Mus musculus: one gene and its partners. The protein of the gene in region 1 interacts with the protein of each later gene in a pairwise test. Links are inferred from orthologs where the notes say so. Each region holds a gene or a part of one and is shown in the gene's direction. Other genes may lie near its edges. The genes, in order: Nudt18, Apip and Dhps.

Evidence for each region.
Region 2: the proteins of Nudt18 (region 1) and Apip interact in binary tests that used the Homo sapiens proteins (3 or more experiments, as listed by UniProt). The two-hybrid records come from large-scale screens. The link is inferred for Mus musculus from reciprocal best matches to the Homo sapiens genes NUDT18 and APIP.
Region 3: the proteins of Nudt18 (region 1) and Dhps interact in binary tests that used the Homo sapiens proteins (3 or more experiments, as listed by UniProt). The two-hybrid records come from large-scale screens. The link is inferred for Mus musculus from reciprocal best matches to the Homo sapiens genes NUDT18 and DHPS.

The regions. Positions count from the first base shown.
Region 1 is NC_000080.6:70,575,685-70,582,000, forward strand, and holds the start of Nudt18 (8-oxo-dGDP phosphatase NUDT18), read left to right. Parts: upstream 1-2,139; 5' UTR 2,140-2,264; coding exon 2,265-2,426; exon of another isoform or gene 2,427-2,823; intron 2,824-3,227; coding exon 3,228-3,441; intron 3,442-3,649; coding exon 3,650-4,245; 3' UTR 4,246-6,316. UniProt on the Homo sapiens protein: Mediates the hydrolysis of oxidized nucleoside diphosphate derivatives. Hydrolyzes 8-oxo-7,8-dihydroguanine (8-oxo-Gua)-containing deoxyribo- and ribonucleoside diphosphates to the monophosphates. Hydrolyzes 8-oxo-dGDP and 8-oxo-GDP with the same efficiencies.
Region 2 is NC_000068.7:103,079,007-103,084,737, forward strand, and holds part of Apip (methylthioribulose-1-phosphate dehydratase), read left to right. Parts: intron 1-3,948; coding exon 3,949-4,049; intron 4,050-5,731. UniProt on the Homo sapiens protein: Catalyzes the dehydration of methylthioribulose-1-phosphate (MTRu-1-P) into 2,3-diketo-5-methylthiopentyl-1-phosphate (DK-MTP-1-P).
Region 3 is NC_000074.6:85,069,103-85,075,623, forward strand, and holds Dhps (deoxyhypusine synthase), read left to right. Parts: upstream 1-2,654; 5' UTR 2,655-2,744; coding exon 2,745-2,951; intron 2,952-3,349; coding exon 3,350-3,514; intron 3,515-4,192; coding exon 4,193-4,314; intron 4,315-4,400; coding exon 4,401-4,497; intron 4,498-4,578; coding exon 4,579-4,665; intron 4,666-5,109; coding exon 5,110-5,215; intron 5,216-5,290; coding exon 5,291-5,394; intron 5,395-5,561; exon of another isoform or gene 5,562-5,631; coding exon 5,632-5,757; intron 5,758-5,831; coding exon 5,832-5,927; 3' UTR 5,928-6,059; downstream 6,060-6,521. Other genes in the region: Wdr83 (WD repeat domain-containing protein 83), read right to left, coding at 6,092-6,241. UniProt on the Homo sapiens protein: Catalyzes the NAD-dependent oxidative cleavage of spermidine and the subsequent transfer of the butylamine moiety of spermidine to the epsilon-amino group of a critical lysine residue of the eIF-5A precursor protein to form the intermediate deoxyhypusine residue.

The DNA.
Region 1 (6,316 bases):
AGGTGGGCTATCCCAGCCTCCTTTCCTGTCTCATTATCCCCTTCCTGTCCAAGACTCACCCACCTGTCTCTGACCACTGCTCTTTATCCTAAGGCCTTGAGAAATCCAACCTTTTTGGTTGCCTCCCCAAGCACTCTGGGAAGGACTGTACCCCCTTCAGATGCCTTCTGTGTGTCCCCTTCACCCTTTACAAAGGGCTTTCGGTGTTCTATTGCTTCCATGTGCCTTATGACAAGGCAACGAGGCCTTCCGCAGCAGATGCGTGTTTTCCCCTTCCCCCATGATAATGGAACTGCGGTTGTGGCAGCCTTTGCTCTACCAGGCAGTTGGGCCGGCTGCTGTTTATCTTAGGACGCCTCTGCCACTCTCCCAGCCTGCCCAGACATGACCTCACCCTCTCCCAAATCATCCCTGGGAGAAAGAATGGAGTGTCTGACCAGTGCTGCCTCCACTTCACAGATGGGAAAACTGAGGCACTGAGAGAGCAAAAGGGGGGTAGGGGGAGAGGAGGGTAGGGGAAGAGAGAGGTGGAGAAGAGAGAGGAGGCCTTTAACAAGTGGCTCTGCACCCTGGGGCCTGATCTTGACCCTCTGCCGATGACTACAGTTAATTTAGAAATAGGAGGTCTTCAGTGGCCTCAAGTCAGAAGTGTCCAAGTGCCTGAAAATACTGTGGGCCACTAACAGTGCCCATCCAACCTCACGTAGATTTCCTCTTCAGGGAGTTTGCATCAGCATCGGGGAGAAGAAAGGCTGAGACCAGTCCCGGAGGGCTGAGATCGCCTGCCAGTCAAGTCTACAGAGCACAGATGTGGTTTTGTGGTGCTGGGAATTGAACTCAGGGCCTTGTGTATGCTAGGTAAATACTCTACCGCTGAGCTATACTCCCCAGTTTCACGGTGTGTGTGTTCTTGTATGTGCAGGTGTGCTCTATGGACTATGGCTTTGAGACCCTACCTGGAGAACAGGTGGGCTGCCTGGTGACGGTGTTCAGATAGTGCATGGCTTCTCCCAAGCTCTCTTGGCTTCTCAACAAGTATGGAAAAGGAGGGCTGTTACAGACCTACTGTACAGATGAGGACATTGAGGCCACCCAGGGCACAGAGCACGTCAGTCAGCAGAGGCTGGATGTCTGGCTTTTAAACTCCAGAGCTTTGTCAGTACCATCAAGCCACTGTCCCCCAAAGGAGGTACACAGAGCCAGCAGTGGGGGAGGAAAGGGAAGTCTGGGATGGGGTGAGGAGCCCAGACTTGGCCTGCTTTGTGGATTCCTCTCAGCTGGCCCTGCCTTCCTGTCCTGAGTGGAGGTTAAAGAAGCTCAGAGGAAGAAAGGTCAGGCTGGGAGAGAAGCAGGAGCTGGCCAAAACAACCCACACCCTGTTCCTCATGACCAGGCCCTGGACGCTGGGTAGGAGGGCACCACCCCTGCCCTCTAAAGATGGAGTCTGTTTCAGAAGCCTGGGAAAAGCATTGGGCACAGGATCGGATGCAGGCTACAGTGCTGACTTCAATCTCCCTTTCATTCATCCCCCCCCCCCTTAGCTTCTTCTCATCCCCAGCCTTGTCCCACCTTGACCACCTGTCCCATCCCTCCTCTGAGGCTTGTCAATCACGTTCCCCATCCCCCACCCCACCCCCAAACCAATCCTTTAGCCTCGGACTCTTAAAATGCCCTGTGTCCATCGACCTAGACAGATCAGAATTTCTAACGCAACGTTATGTGCCTGAGCCATACCACATTCAGAGCATTTTAACGAAGTCAGAAAGTTATTTGGGGCCTATTCGTCGTGAGCACTTCTGTGGTTCGTTTATGATAAAAGCTGGACAGTGGGAGCGAACGGCGGAGTCTGGGCTTCCGTAATGTCATCGGACGAGTGACGCCATCGACCCTGGTCACAGTGGTGTTCATCACCCTACAGGCAGGATGACATCACCGTCGGAACCCGCGCGGACAAGTGCGTGCTGGGTGAATTAGCTAATCGCTAGGGAGAGTGTGAAGTGAGGCTGAAACCCAGGAGAGGAGGGGGCAGAGGGAGGATCCCGGCGCCCCGCCCTCCCGATAACCGCTGCGAGCTGGCCAATCCGGGCAGGCCGCAGTGACGCGCAGCCTATCAGCGACCAGGTCTCTCCCGGAGGTTCCGTGTTAGTCTTGGCCCTCAAGTCAGGGGAGGGGGCGAGGGCGCCGCGGCCCACCGCAGCTCAGGTCCCGGCCGCTTGCCTCCGGGGGTCTGGCAGGTCCCGGCTTGCCACCTCCCCGGAGACTTGATGGCCACGGAGGGCCTGGCAGGGGCGCTTGCCACCGTGCTGGGGGGAAAGGGGTTGCTGGTGCAGAGCTGTGACTCGGAGCCGGCTGGGAAGCCGCTGTTTCCCGTGCGGCTGCGGAAGAATGTCTGCTACGTGGTGCTGGCCGTGTTCCTCAACGAGCAGGTGAGCGTCCGACCGGCCGCTGGCCTTCGGCTGGTCTCGGGAGCGTGCCGCCTGCCCTGATCTGAACAGGCGAGCCAACGGCCGCTGCCTGTATGTGGCGCTTCCCAATGTTGCAAAGCACTCTCAACACTAGCAGCTGAGCTGAGATCGTCCTTCTGTAGACTCTATAATATGGAAGGAGAAGCCGAGGTCCCGGGGCGGTTTATCTCATCCACTAGACCTCGCCCCCCACCAGGAGAGGCCTGTAATATGCCCCCTTCCTTTCCAGGAGTCTAGACTCTCCCGGCGCCTCGGGAGAGTAATGGGGAGCTTACATGCAGGCCTCCGATCCTGTGAGAGTTCTTTTTAGTGATCACTTCTGCACAAGTCAGCGTTATAAAATCCTGGCCAAGAAGGGGTAGGTTGGTATAGGGGTGGAGCTAAGTTTCAAAGCCTCAGACCCTAGATTGAGGACTTGACACAGGCGGTTTGTAAGTCCCATGGGAACAAGAGCAAGACAGTGGCATAAATGAGTCAGTATAGGAGTGGTGGCAACCTTCAGGAGGAAGCCTCCTAGAGCAACGCCCAAGGTCCTCAGCCCCTTTCTACAACAGAAGTCCCTCTGGGTTTGAGTTACAGCAAAGCGGAGACAGCCACTGCTTTCAGCCATATCAGGGCCTGACTCCTGAGGATCCAGCATCCTAAAGGTGTCTGTCTACCAAGAAGGGAGCTTTGGGCTGCCATCCAGGTAGGGGCTACTCTTCTGAAGCCCCCAGACTGGCTGGGTAGGAGTGAAGATTGTCTCACTTCCCTCCCTCCCAGGATGAGGTGTTGATGATACAGGAGGCCAAGAGGGAATGCCGGGGGACATGGTACCTCCCTGCAGGAAGAATGGAACCAGGAGAAACCATCGTGGAGGCCATGCAGCGGGAGGTGAAGGAGGAGGCAGGGCTGCTCTGTGAGCCAGTGACACTGCTGTCCGTGGAGGAGAGGGGCGCCTCCTGGATCCGCTTTGTGTTCCTCGCTCGACCAACAGGTATCCCCCACCTAGTGACATTTCTCACGGTCCCTCATCCATAGCCAGCCATACTGTGGGCTTCTGCTTATGGCCATTGACCTACTACGGGCTAAGAGCTTTTGGGGGTCTCTCTCTCTCTGGAGTGTTGGGGTGGCCATTTACTCTCTCAGGCTCAACCCTTCTCATACTGGCCCTCTTCCCACCCCACCCCCCAAATCTCTCCTAGGCGGAGTTCTCAAGACTTCCAAAGATGCTGATTCTGAGTCCCTCCAGGCCGGCTGGTACCCACGGGTCTCCCTGCCCACACCGCTTAGAGCCCATGATGTTCTGCACCTGGTAGAGCTAGGCGCCAAATTCTGCCAACAAGCCATGCACCCTCTCATTCTGCCTCAAGAGCTCCCCTGCAGTGTGGTCTGCCAACGGCTGGTGACCACCTTCACAACAGTCCAGTCGGTGTGGGTGTTGGTGGGCACGGTGGGGACACCTCACTTGCCCATCACTGCCTGTGGCTTTACCCCTATGGAACAAAGGGGCGGCATCAAGGTGGCCATCTTGAGGCTCCTACAGGAGTGTCTGACTCTGCACAGTTTGGCAGTGGAGACCAAGGGGTTGCTTGGGTTGCAACACCTAGGCAGAGACCATGTGGATGGTGTCTGCCTGAATGTGCTGGTGACCGTGGCTTTTCGGAACCCAGGAATCCAAGACGAGCCCCCAAAGATTCGGGGTGAAAACTACTTTTGGTGGAAGGTATTAGAGGAAGATTTACAAAAACTGCTTCTGTACAGACTCCAGGAATCTTCTGTGATCCCCCTGAGCAGATAGAGAGATTCCAGCAGGGACCAAAAGCTGAGCTGCCCCCTCCCTCTGAGGCAGAGAAAAGGCTGGCAGTCAGGGATCTCATTGCACATTTTGAGGGGGCAGGGACCACACATTGAGCCCAAAGGGAGGGTGTCTTGAATCCACTTTTCAAGGGCTCAGTTCTGAGGGCACACAGTACTTGTCTTTTAAGTTGGTGAGGAACTTTTTGAACCCTAAATGGCACCATCTTTGTCCACTTTGGAAAAGGCTGCATGTCAATCCTTCCAACCCCATAGGAATGTAGAGAGGGATGGGACATGGGGGACGCATCCCTCAGGGCAGAGTCCTCATTGCTGAGTAAAAAGGTATTGCTTAACCTGCCTGCTTGCCTAAATGTCTGTGTGGGGAGGATATGGGGCACTGTCCCACCCACAGTCACCCAGGTCTTTCCTCACCGTGTACACACTGATGCTATGCAGGGATGTAAGGATCCTGAGGCAGACATCGATGCTCGCTGAAGCCTCGACCCACCCAGGCTCTTTTTAGTGTTCCTGTCCTGTCAGGGCGGGCGTGGGACTTTGAAGTGACCACACCCCTAATAAAAGCACAGCTCAGACCTGTCCAGGTGTTGAACGGTTCGGTCTGGTGAAACTGCCTAGGGAACAAGAAAGAGCTGAGGATGACACGTTGGCCTCTGCCAGTCTTTTTCTCTTTGAGCTTCCTGGGCTCTGACCTGTTCCGTGTGCTCTCGGACCTGGCTTTTTGGTTTTTGTTCATGTCCCTGTCCTCAGTTCATGTCGCCCAGGCAGACTGTGAACTCTTATAATGTAGCTGGTGATGACCTTGACTCATCCAGATTCTGCAGAAGTCAAGCCCTTTTATCAATGGGTTACACTCCCAGGCCAGCACAGGATTCTGTTTTCTTGAGATAGACTCTGCCCACATAGACCAGGCTGACCTCAATCAAGTTTGTTGTGATCTTCCTGCCTCCAATTCTTGAGTCCTGGGAATACAGATGTGCTCCAGCATGCTGCTGCTTATCATTAGCATCATTATTATTATCTGATGAAAGCTTCGGAGCTGGCGAGGTGGCTCCGCTCAGCAGTTAAGAGCATATGCGGCTGGCTCATGCTGAGGACCTGAGTTTGGTTTCCAGTCCTTGCACCAAGTGGCTCACAACCACCTCCAGCTTCAGGCTTTCTGAAACCCTCTCTAGCCTCTGAGGGCACTCACTCAATGTGTACATCTCCTATGCAGACATACATAATTAAAAATAGAAATGAAAATGAAAATCAAAAGCAGTTGGAGCAAAGGAAATGTATCCCATGTTGCTAATCATCACATTAGATTTCTGATTCTGAGCAAGGAGACGCACTTCCTAGCATTGCTTTTCACAGAGGACAGTAGCTTGAGGAGCCAGAAAAACTCCTTGATCCTTTTCCTAGTGCCCCAGGCCTCTTTGGTAACCATCTTGTCTGGTCTCTAGAAAGAGGAATCCTCCTTAGACTCCCTGAGGACATAGTTTCCAAATGATAAACCAAAGCGAGGTATGATGGCACACACCTTTTATCCCAGCATTCGGGAGGCAGAGGCAGGAGGATCTCTAGGAATCTATATAGCAAGTTCCAGGACAGCCAGTACTACATAGTGAGGCCCTATTTCAAAAACTAGAACAAAATAAATGAAGTCTTTTCTATTTTATTTTTGGAGTGCTGTGGGTTGAACCCAGGGGCTCACACATTTTGGGTTAAGCAGGCTACCTAATGGTCTCACTGAAAACCAAAACCTTTTATTCAGGTCAGGACTCCTCCAGTTCCCCCACACACAGAGAAGGGCAGTGACATTCACTGCCACCATTTAGCCTGGTGGCTTTTGATCCTGAGTACACATCACTGTCACCCAGACAGTTCTCAGTTCTGTCCACCCACTAGGGTGACTAAGCTGCTGAAACCAGCTGGGAGCTGGCGTGTGTGTGTGTGTGTGTGTGTGTGTGTGTGTGTGTGTGTCTGTCCAAGCGCATGAGCAGGCACATGCATGCACATAAGCAAGAGAAGGAGGGTGTCGGGAGCCCTGTTCTATTGCTTTCTACTTTATT
Region 2 (5,731 bases), on another chromosome or scaffold:
GTGCCCTCGCCCCTGGTGATAAAAGAAAGAAAACTGAGGTTGAAATTCGGGAGTCTGGGAATCGCTGATCCATATAAGAAAACCAACCCAGAAAGTATCCCTGACCTGCCAGTAAGAACAAAGCTGAGAGCAGGCTCTGCTCTGACCTCCTGTCAGTGTTGGAGGGATGGAAAGAAGCCTCCCAGGGTGGTGCAAACCCTGAAAGCGCTTTTGAGAGAAGGTGCCTTTGCACAGAATCCAGCAAAGCACAGGTGAAACCGCAGGCAGAAGGGAAGCGAAGCTGCGCATGCTGGACCTTCTCGCTTCCTGGATCCAGTCTCCGGGAAAGTCGTGAAAGACTGAGGCAAGCAAGCTCCCTGATGGGGGCTTAGAGTTGTAGGTAGGCAGGTTCACAGCTATGCAGATTGTGGAATAGTCACAGCACCAGAAAGGTGTGTATACTGCAGGTTCTATGTGCTCTTTTGATTTTGTCCAATTTGGCTTTATTTGAAAATTAATTATTCATGCCCAAGTGTGTTGAATTCTGTTTTGAAAAAATTCTAACACACCTTTACTGCTTTCCGTATTAATGGCTACATTAAATAACTTCAACACTTTCTCTTTGGATCAAATTTGGACTCTTGCTTATGCTAATAAACATATGCTTTACTACCGAATGTCACCCTCACCTGAAAGTTTGTTTTATGTTTATGCCAGAGTCCTCCCAGAGGAAAGCCGAGGTCCAGATGTGTGCTGGTGTTTTAAGGTGAAAGAAAGGAAGACATGGAAATAAATGGAGCTACTGTTAGGCATAAGTACGCATTTCTGTGGCACAAAAGTGAAATGTCTTCAAAGTGGGATGAAAGCTATTCACACTTTCATGTCTAATATATTCTGAATGTCACTGCGTCTGTTTCTGCCATACCATAGCGTCTCTTCTATTCATTGTGATTCTTTAGCTTCATGCTATATAGGTGTTACGCTCACTGAGAGCCAACTCTAACAACAGCTGAAAGGCACCATTGGCATCCAGGGGTGCAATAGACAGTAAGCTCTCCCTTTCTGTCCGTTCCAAAGGTAACATTTCCACGTTCACACTCTTGGGCCGCACAGGTTAAATGGCTGCACCTGAAAGTCAGCAGATGTGTGGCTGCCAGGGCTCCGTTACTTCCCTGTAATGGTATCTTCCTGATCTGAGTGGCTGAGGAGGACAATAGCAGCACTGCCCGCCATTGGTGTGCTGTAGCAGGGAGCTGGCTAATGGCTCTAATACCTCAATACTGGGGAAAGACAAAAGGAGAGGGGGATCTATAATAATAGACCATTTTCGGTAATGTTTGCAATTTGTTGCGCAAATTTGGTCTTAATGATTGGAACACTGCAGGAGTCTCCCCATTAGTTGTATTTAATATGTAATTAAAATATCATTTATGTTCCCCAAAAAGGAAATAGCAAATTATATGGGGCATAGAATTTTTTTGGCTAGATTCCTTGAGAAGAGTAAAGAAATCCATTTTATTATTAACTTTTAAGTAATTAATTTGTGTTCAAGAACTTTAACTCTTTAAAGTGTAAGGAAGTTCATATTATGTCACATGGTTTTCTGTGGAGTGCTTTTACTGTAGAGACTTTTAAATTTTATTTTTAAATATGTATATATGTGCTCAACTTTGTGTGATATATGCACATGAGTGTAAATGCCCAAGGACTCCCCGGCAGAGATGTTGGCTCCTCTGGAGCTGGAGTAACATTGATTGTGAGCTGACTGACATGGGTGCTAGGAACTGAACTCCAAGCTTCTGCAAGACAGTACGGACCTTAACCTCTGAACCATCTCTCCAGCCCCAACTTTTATGTTATATTGTGTGTGTATCTCTCTGTGTCTCTGTGTGTGTTTGTGTGTGTGTGTGTGTGTGTGTGTGTGTGTGTGTGTGTTGGTAGATAGATATGTGCACATGCAGGTGCCTAAGAAGACCAGAGGCTTCAGTTCAGCCTGGAGATGGAGCTATAGATAGTGAATCACTTGATGTGAGTGGTGGGAACTGAACTCTGGTTCTCCCGAGAACAGGACATGCTCTTAGCTGCCGAGCCATCTCTTTAGCTTTGTGCTGTGTGTTTTATCTTCATTTCATCTCACTTTATTCCTCAAAGTGTGCTTATTTCATGGTTGAGTAAAAGTGGGGCTCAGTGTCTTAGTTAAGATTTCTGTTGCTGTGATAGAACACTGAGCAAAGCACCACGGGGAGGAAAGGGTTAATTTCAGCCTACAACTTATAGTCCATCATCCAGAGAAGTCAGGGCGGGAGTACAAGGCAAGAAGCCAGCTGGAGGCAGGATCTGAAGCAGAGGCTATGGGGGAGTGCTGCTTACTGCTTTTCTCCTTGTGGCTTATATAACCCAGAACCGCCAGCCCAGGGCCAGCACCGCCCAAGGTGAGCTGGGCCCACATCAATCATCAATCAAGAAAATGCACCACAGGCGTGATTATTCACAGGCGACAGGTGGGGTCAATTTCTCATTTGAGGTTCCCTCTTCCAAGATGACTCTAGCCTGTGTCAAGTTGATGTAAAACTAGCCAGCACACTCAGCATCGTGTAAATGGTGAATTAGATATTGTGTAGTTTGACCTTCTTTGCTAACTCCTAAACCTGTGCTGATTTTTACAAAAGCCTGACTTTTTCTCATACTCTGAATTTTTTATTTTGAAGGCTACTTCATCAAATTATCATTCATACCACCAAAAGTATTTATCTATATGCATGCATGCATACATACATACATGCATACTCAAACACAGAGGAAAGAAGAGAGAGGATGGGAGAGAGAGAGAGAGAGAGAGAGAGAGAATAAACCAGAGAATGACAAGTAAATAAATATTGGGAAACACAATTTTAGCTGCCCAGTCTGTTGAAATAATGGTTTTCCTCTGGACTCGGGAATGGTTTTCCCCTTTACCCAGGGCCGCCGTCCATAGTCAGTTATTTCCTGTGCTTTTCTCCGTAGCAAGGGTTTCTTGTTTGCTGAGACTGCAGCCCACCGAGTCTTGAGTTTATTTGGAGGTTTTCTGTGTGGTACAAGTCTGGAGTTTATCTCAGAGTTCTGATGCTGGTCCAGCTATCAGAGTGAAGCCCAGAGAGCCCAGAACTTTTTGCAGGTGGCTTGAAGTGAACGTCAGCTTTGGAGTGCCCTGCCCCCAAGACATTTCCCTGAGGAGTCCTGCGAAGTTCACTTTCCACTTCTGCCACCTCTTTTGAAATATTTGTGAACATGACTGACTAGGCAGTTATTATCTGCTTTCCAGCTAAGGCTACATATCGTACTGCCAAAATGGAGCTCGTTGTTCTTCTCTGCTTGCTTTAGATAGTTTAAACTGTTAAGAGAAAAGCAGGGAAAACTGGGAGTTATTGCAGCTAAACATAAGTAAGGGTTGATGTTCCTTCTGGCCTTTATTCACACGGTTCCGTAAAATGCCTTCGTAGAAAAGGATCATAAGTGCTTCTGAGTAGGATTTGTTTATTGATTGTTATTTGCTTGACTTTAATGGTTTGTCATAGTCACTATTATAATTGAATAAGAAGATATTTAAATCACTTTGGAAAACAACATTTTAAAGATAAAATTGAAACTGCCCCAACACAGACTGTGTTGAACATGTATTGATAGTGAAGTGTCATGTATGGTGTTCTAGCAGGGTGTTCTGTGAAGCACTTAGCTGTGTAGCCCAAAGTGTGGGGTTTGTTTGTTTGTTTGTTTTTAGTACTGGGTTCCACTGCCTTTCTGTTGACGCTGTGTCATAGACCCCTGGCATTTCCCTGCCTTGTTTTTACAGCCAGTTCCATAGAGTTGGGACCCCTGTACTGACCAATCCCAGACTGCCAATTAAGTAAATCCATTTCTAACGATTAAGGAAGTGCCAGCTGGAGTGCACAACTTTAAGAGTCATTTGCAAATCATCATCTTCTCTTTCAGGACAAGGAGCACCCCCGATTCCTGATCCCAGAACTTTGCAAACAGTTTTACCATCTGGGCTGGGTCACCGGCACTGGAGGGGGAATCAGCTTGAAGCATGGGTAAGTTCCTGGCTGATCGCAGCTGTGGGAGTTCTTATTTTAGCAGGCCTCAGGGCTGTGTCCAGACCCAGCTGATAGTCAGTTTAGTGCGGGACTGAAGCCGGATACTTTCTAAATGATCGGTGGATGTCTGCATAGCCTGGTGGAGCCAAGGAGCAGAAGCAACAAGCACAATAAATTCCCAGTTGTTAACTGGGATAATTTGGTCCTCTCTGGAACATCACAGGTAAGAAAAGTAGTTGAAGACTTATTTCAAAAGTTCAAAGAAATATTTAAAAGTCACTTAAATAGAAATTATTAATCATTAAATTCTAATTAAGTTCAAAAATCCATATTTACTAAGTTCAAAACAGGCCATGTGCTGTTTTTGAGCAGAGATATCATGATTAACAGGCCCAGCAATGCTACTATCTACTCCTTTGAGGCACTGGGTTTAAAACAGAAGGACTCATTTTCTGTTGCTCACTGAGTTCAGTGAGTGTCTTGTGGTCAAGCAGATGAGGAGTAAGCTGGAGGAAGCAAGCCTCCTTCTCCCAGGGCTTGCTGAAGTGGGTTGATGTCTTCCCCCTGAAATGTAGGAGTCCTGTTGCTGGAGGCGGGGTTTTATTCTGTATTCTAATTCACCTTTTTTCTTTAGCAAAGTTGGATCACTAAAATATTTATATGCTGAGTGTATGTGTACATGGTATGCATGTGTATACATGTACATATATGTATGTGTATGTATCCGTCAAGGAATCTGCATTTTATAATAGGAAATAGGTTGTAAAATAAAATCAGAACATCTTAAACAAAAGGAATTTTACTCCTTCCCACAAAATAATGACTTTGGAATTTCATCTGCTCCAAATTACAGTGTCCTTCATGAAATATTAATTCAACAGTGGGAAATAGCAAAATGTGACTTAGTCAACAGCTTAGACAGCTGTGGATATAAGAATTCTCTCAGTACAGATAAAGCGTCTTCCCTGATCGCCTGCACGGCCATGTTGCCCTGTGCCTAAGCTCTCAGGTTTCCTTATGCACAATATACCTGAAACTATGAATAATTCATTCCTATCTAAGAAGTCAAGTGCCTGTCTGTAATTTAATTTCCCTGATGTATGATTTATTTCTAAAGGCTGCTTTTTATGCTCTCTCTCTCTCTACTGGTGCAGAAAATGGCTTTGTATATAACAGAGCTCCTACCAAACTGAGCTAAAATACTTGTTTCTGGCTTTTTAAAAATATATACAGCAAAGTTAAAAAGAATAGAATGCAAACTCAAGAGAAGTTTTTTTTTTAAGATTTATTTATTTATTATATGTAAGTACACTGTAGCTGTCTTCAGACACTCCAGAAGAGGGCGTCAGATCTTGTTACAGATGGTTGTGAGCCACCATGTGGTTGCTGAGATTTGAACTCCTGACCTTCGGAAGAGCAGTCGGGTGCTCTTACCCACTGAGCCATCTCACCAGCCCCTCAAGAGAAGTTTTTAAAGCAAGAAACTATACAGGACTTCTTCTAGAAGAACTTTACTGTTCCACAGCCTGATTGTGTGCGGCCAACATAAACCATTTATTGGCACATCTCTTAATATGTAATCACTTTTATAGCACCACAATCAATTTATAGGAAAGTTGCATCATCTGTAGTTTTTCGTTATTTTTAATAGGCAAGGAGCTCCCTCTAGGGGCCACAAA
Region 3 (6,521 bases), on another chromosome or scaffold:
CTCATCCCCTTGAGTAGCCAGCCTGGGATTCGCATCACACCTAGCCTGCTTATCATCCTTCCCCTTTGTCCCTTAAGGGTTATCCTGACACTGTTCATCTGTTCATTCATTTGTTCATTCTTTCTTTTACCAGGGTATTAGCCTGGCTGAACTGCTCCAACAAAGCCACAGAGTGAATTGTATAAACCCTGGGAATTGTTGCCTGGGTGGCTGGAAATCTGACATCAAGGTGCTGGTGTTGATTTCTCTAAAGAGGATTGCTTCAGCAACGTCTTTTACAATTTTTATCTTAAGTTGGGGGCAGTGGTGGCACAGATCCCAGCACTCGGGAGGCAGAGGCAGGTGAATTTCTGAGTTCGAGGCCAGCCTGGTCTACAGAGTGAGTTCCAGGACAGCCAGGGCTACACAGAGAAACCCAGTCTTGAAAAACCAAAACCAAAAAAAAAAAAAAAAAAACAAAAAAACAAAAAAACCCAAAACAAACAAACGCATAATTTTTTATTTTAAAATTGCATTCATTATCTCAGCCCTCAGGAGGTAGAGGCAGGTTGATCTCTGTGAGTTGAGGCTGCCAGGTCTACATAATAAATTCCAGGCCAGTCAGTTCCATGGTGAGACTGTCTCAAAAAAAAAAAAATTATTGTGTGCGTTGAGGGTAAGGTAGTTGCATGTGAAACCGGTCAGAGGCTAACATTCTGAGAACCTGTTCTACCACGGTGGCCTTGGGATTGAACTCAGGTATCCAGGCCTCCTGACAAAAGGCTTTACCCAATAAGTCATGTCTTACCAGCCTAGAGACCAAGTTCTTGCTATGTCCCTACCTGCTCTTCCCTCTGCTTGCTGATCATGGTGACTCTGAGCATAACAGCCATTACTATATGTATATGTATTTTAAAAAAAGATTTATTATTTATATGAGTACACTGTAGCTGTCTTCAGATACAGCAGTAGAGGGCGTCAGATGTCATTACAGATGGTTGTAAGCTACCATGTGGTTGCTGGGATTTGAACTCAGGACCTTCCTAAGAATATTCAGTGCTGTGCCGGGCGTGGTGGTGCACACCTTTAATCCCAGCACTTGGGAGGCAGAGGCAGGCGGATCTCTGAGCTCGAGGCCAGCCTGGTCTACAGAGTGAGTTCCAGGACAGCCAGGGCTATACAGAGAAATCCTGTCTCAAAAAACCAAAAAAAGAATAGTCAGTGCTCTTAACAGCTGAGCCATCTCTCTAGCCCCCCCGCCATCACTATCTTAGTCAGAGTAGCCATAGCTACCTTCATTCAACTTTTTCCCTAGAGGAGGAGGAGGAGGTGATAAGTATCATGGATTCAAGTCACTTTGCCCTCCCGGATGTATGCAGACCTCCCTCCAGGTAGTGGTACTGGGCACTGATGGCAGATATTGGTTAAATGAAGGGGATCGTTGGAAAAATAGTGTCTCTGAAGTCTTTATGTAATAGGAATTTTCTGGGTCTTCTGGTCTTGGCAGTTTTCACCAATCACCTTTTCCTTCAGCTCAGGTTACCAACTCCTCCTCCTCCTCTTCAGAGAGAGAGAGAGAGAGATTGATTGATTGATTGTAGGCCAGAGGACAACCTCATATGTCACTCTCAGAAGACATTCACCTGGTCCTCAAGCCTGTGTTATGACCTTGTGCATGCATGGCCTGCTGTGGCGGTCAGAAGAGAATGTATGGGAATCCAGACTCTTCTTCTATCGTAAGCCTTTGGCTACTGAGTCATTCTGCAGGCCCCATCCCAAGGATCTGCCTGTCTCTGCTTCCCCAGAGCTGGAATTACTGGTATTGTCAACCCCCAAGCCCCTTGAGTTCTGGTAATTGAACGCACATATACAATCCACACTCTTGCTTTTTCAAAAAGCAAGGACCATACTAACATCTATTTCCCTAGCCACACAGGTCCCTTTTGTTAAGACAGGGTCCTGCTCTCTATCGTTCAGCCTGGCCTGGAACTCGAGATTCTTCTGCCTCGACCTCTGGATTGCAGTGTGTCCCAAGCCTGGTTTAATCACTAAACCATTTTCTGTTTCATCATACTATGGTCACCGGGAGGTCAGAGGTCTTGTCCATTGCTAAATCTCAGCTTCCAGCAGAGAGCACTATTTCTAGTCTAGACTACACAAACCAGAAGAAGGGGTGCCCCTGTCCTAGGCTCAGTGTATCATTAAGAGGATGCATGATAGATTCTCAGCAAGCTTCTCGTGGTAAATAGATGGCAGTCATCCCTGCCTCCCCAGAGGCCCATGATCCAGTTAAAATTGAGCTATGGCTGGAGGGGGAAAAGAGGAGGCAACAAAGTTTGTGGAGACTGGAAGAAGCATCAAAAGAAAACACTATTCCATTTGACAAAAGGCTGCAACTCTTTTTTTTTTTTTTTTTTGCCTGATGCCCTAAGTCGTGTTCAAGGACACCGTCCAAGAAACAATCACTTCGCTCATGGGGGACAAGAATATTTGGACAGAGAGACAGCTTGCAAACTAGGCACTTCCCTATGCTTGAAGCTCAGTAACAGCTCCTGGACCACATGTACGGAACACAGGGATAAAATGGCGGCTACCAGGACGGCGGGCGCTGCCCAAGGTCACGAGACCAAGTGACTTCCGGTTTCGTCGCCCCACGCCCCCAAGGCTCTCGAGTCGCACTTCCTGGGCTCCGGCCGACCTCGCTGAGGGATTTTGCGGGTCTCAGGGCGCCGAGGCTGCTGAGACCTGAGAGCGGCCGCGAGCACATGGAAGGGACCCCGCCAGGGGCGGCGCCCTCCTCGGCGCTGGCCGCCGTGCTCAAGCACAGCTCAGCGTTGCCGCCCGAGAGCGCCCAGGTCCAAGGCTACGACTTCAACCGCGGCGTAGATTACCATGCGCTTCTGGACGCCTACCGCACCACCGGCTTCCAGGCTACCAACTTCGGGCGCGCGGTGCAGCAAGTCAACGCCATGGTGAGGCGCGGGGCCACCCGGGCGGGATGCCGGGCCGCTGCGCGCGGATTTCCGCGTGAGCGTCCGGGAGAGGGCGGAGTCCGGGTAAACTAGAGTTCTGCGATGGGTGGAGCTTGGAGTTAAAAATCCAAAAGGGCTTTGTAGGAGGAGCTTAACGCTAGGGGAGCCCGGGGTTCGATTTTCCCGGTGGAAGGAGACTTGAAGATACTGGGTGGTTCTCAAACCATCAAGTGACAGACCTGGACCTGGAATGGGAGGGTTAGGGTCTGCCCAGGGGTTGTGCTTTGGTTTTGTAGTAGTCTCCCTGAGTGCAATCAACCTCTGGAATCCAGGCCAGGTAGGGTACCTCAACTGAGGTTTGGAGTCTTAGTGCAACTTTCCTGTGCCCTTATGACCAGATTGAGAAAAAACTGGAGCCACTGGCTGTAGATGAAGATCATCACGCAGACCTGACTCAGAGCCGCCGCCCACTTACAGGCTGCACCATTTTCTTGGGCTATACTTCCAACCTCATCAGTTCAGGCATCCGGGAGACCATTCGATACCTCGTGCAGCACAACATGGTGGGTCCACGTTAGCTCTGGAACCCCAGCCTCCTTGGGCCAGTAGGAAAAAAAAAAAAAGGGTTATTTTTCAGTTAAGAGAAATGAAGAGGCTCAGAGATTATTTGCGGTCCTGTGAAAGATTTGGGTTTGCTTTTTAACAACCACATGGTGACTCAGAACCGTCTGTAATGGGATCTTTTGATGCCATTACAGATCTGGTGTGTCTGAAGAGAGGGACAGTGTATTCACATATATTAAATACATCTTTTAGTCTTTTTTGTTTTTGTTTTGTTTGAGACAGGGTTTCTCTGTATAGCCCTGGCTGTCCATCCTGGAACTCACTCTGTAGACCAGGCTGGCCTTGAACTCAGAAATTCTGCCTGCCTCTACCTCCCAAGTGCTGGGATTAAAGGCATGCACCACCACCGCCCAAAATAGATTAAAAAAAAAAAAGGGTGTGAGGAGATGGAGTATTGTTCTTTGACATCCCGGCAGTCCTCATGCCTCAGCCTCCTTTCCGAGTGCTGGGATCGCAAGACCGTGCCACTTTTTCTGGCTGTGGGTCTGCTTCAGGCAGAGGGAGGCCTGGCCTGGAGTTGGTTTTGTTGTAGCGCTCATGCTTAGGTCTGGATGAGCTCACCCAGGTTAGGTTGCTGCTTAGAAGGGGGGGTCAGTGTTGCCTGCGACCGACCACAGGTGGATGTATTGGTGACCACTGCTGGAGGTGTGGAAGAAGATCTCATCAAATGCCTGGCGCCCACATACCTTGGCGAGTTCAGCCTCAGGGGGAAGGAGCTCCGGGAGAGTGGGATCAACAGGTGAGGGAGGCTTTGAGTAGTGGTCGGGGCGGGGAAGCTGGGCAGAGGATCCCCGTGACCCATGCCCGCATGGCTCCCATTTCCAGGATTGGAAACCTGCTGGTGCCGAATGACAATTACTGCAAGTTTGAGGACTGGCTCATGCCCATTCTGGACCAGATGGTGCTGGAGCAGAACACAGAGGTGGGGCTGGAAGGGCTCGGGGACCTGCATAGTAAGAGTCAGAAGACATATGAGCTAATACGATATTCTCTCCCATGATAGGGTGTGAAGTGGACACCTTCCAAGATGATCTCCCGGCTTGGGAAGGAGATCAACAACCCAGACTCTGTGTATTATTGGGCCCATAAGGTGGGTTGGGTGGGGACGGTATTCCCAGGCTTTGGCTTGTACTGACTTTGTCTTTGTAGCTACCTGAGCGTCTCTATAATTATTCTTGGTCTCCCCAAATTAGACGAGGTGTATCACTTGATGGCAAGGTTCTCCTAGTTATGCCCCTACACTCCCGGGATTTAGTGTAGTACCCTAGAAGTCAGTGGGGCCTGACCCAGGGTACTGTGCACCCAGGGACAGTGCAGCACAAGAGTCTGGAAGTGACAAGCCAGTGCTCAGTGTGCCAGCACCTTCAAGCCATGTGTGGTTTTCCTCACTCTGCCTCCACATGTAGAACAGAGGGGTCATGTCCAGCAGAGAAATTGAGTGGCCTACACAGGTTGGGAGGGACGCCACTGGGTTGGGGGTCAGGGTTTTCCTGGGGTGTGAGCTGTAGCTGCTGACTGGTCTTGTCTCCACCAGAACCACATCCCTGTGCTGAGTCCAGCACTCACAGATGGCTCACTGGGTGACATGATCTTCTTCCATTCCTATAAAAACCCAGGCTTGGTCCTGGACATTGTTGAAGGTGAGGTGCTAAGGCCCGGGGAGGAGGGGGAGGAAAGCCCGCCGAGGTCAAGGCCTGACCTCTGCCCTCTCACAGACCTGCGACTCATCAACACGCAGGCCATTTTCGCCAAGCGCTCTGGGATGATCATCCTGGGTGGAGGTGTGGTCAAGCACCACATTGCCAACGCTAACCTCATGGTGAGTGCAGTGGCCTGTGACCGTCCCCACTGTGTTATATGGTGGCTGTGGGGTGAAGGGGAATGGATCGGAGGCATGGAATAGTGCTGTAGTGGGAGCAGAGGTAGGTGTGGTCTCCTGCGGATGGTTTGTGGCAGCCTCAGGCACTGATGGGCCCTTCCTAAAAGCTCTCTAGGCCTTCCTCTGCATCATACCCAGCCTTCTACGGCTTCTGACGAGGGCTTCCTCTACCCACAGAGGAATGGAGCAGACTACGCTGTTTATATCAACACAGCCCAGGAGTTTGATGGCTCAGACTCCGGAGCCCGGCCAGATGAGGCTGTCTCTTGGGGCAAGATCCGGATGGACGCACAGCCAGTAAAGGTAGATGGTGGCAGGGCAGGGTGCAGGGTCCGTGGGCTGCCCATGGCTCCAGGGCTCACTGAGGTCTTCTGCAGGTCTATGCTGATGCTTCTCTGGTTTTCCCCTTGCTGGTGGCTGAGACATTCGCCCAAAAGGCAGATGCCTTCAGAGCTGAGAAGAATGAAGACTAAGAAGATTGGTAAAGACTGAGGCTTTTTGCCACACCTTTATTTATTACTTTACATGCCAGCCCCTCCCTAGGCCCACTCCTTGGTCAGCAGCATCTCTAGAATAAATGGCCCTTTGGTTGGGTTTTCTGAGTCAGTCTGCATCCTTGGTGTCAGGTCCGTAAGCCTCAGCCTGCTCCACCCTCTGCCTCATAGGTCTCTTCTCGCCAGTACTGGATGCTGCCTCCCATGGCAGTCAGTAGGCAGGGTTCCGTGGGATGGTAAGCCAGTGACTGTACCACATTAGAACCCACAGGCAGGGCCAGTGCCAAGGCACCCTAAGGAATGAGTGGTGGGGAACTATTACTATCAGTCGGTCTCCTTGAGATCTTGCCTGAAGTCCTCAGTCAGCTTGTCCCTGACTTTCTGTTGGTACTGAGAATGCTAGGCAAACCCTGCCACTGAGCCACACCCTTGGCCTAGAGACTGCTAGCCTTGGGTATAGAAAGCACCTAGCTCAGCCTTCCTTGTGACCCACCTGGAACCAGCTACAGCCACCACCTTCTCCAAGTCCTTTAGCATATGCTATTCCCCTTGCTTCAAATATCTTTCCTGCTT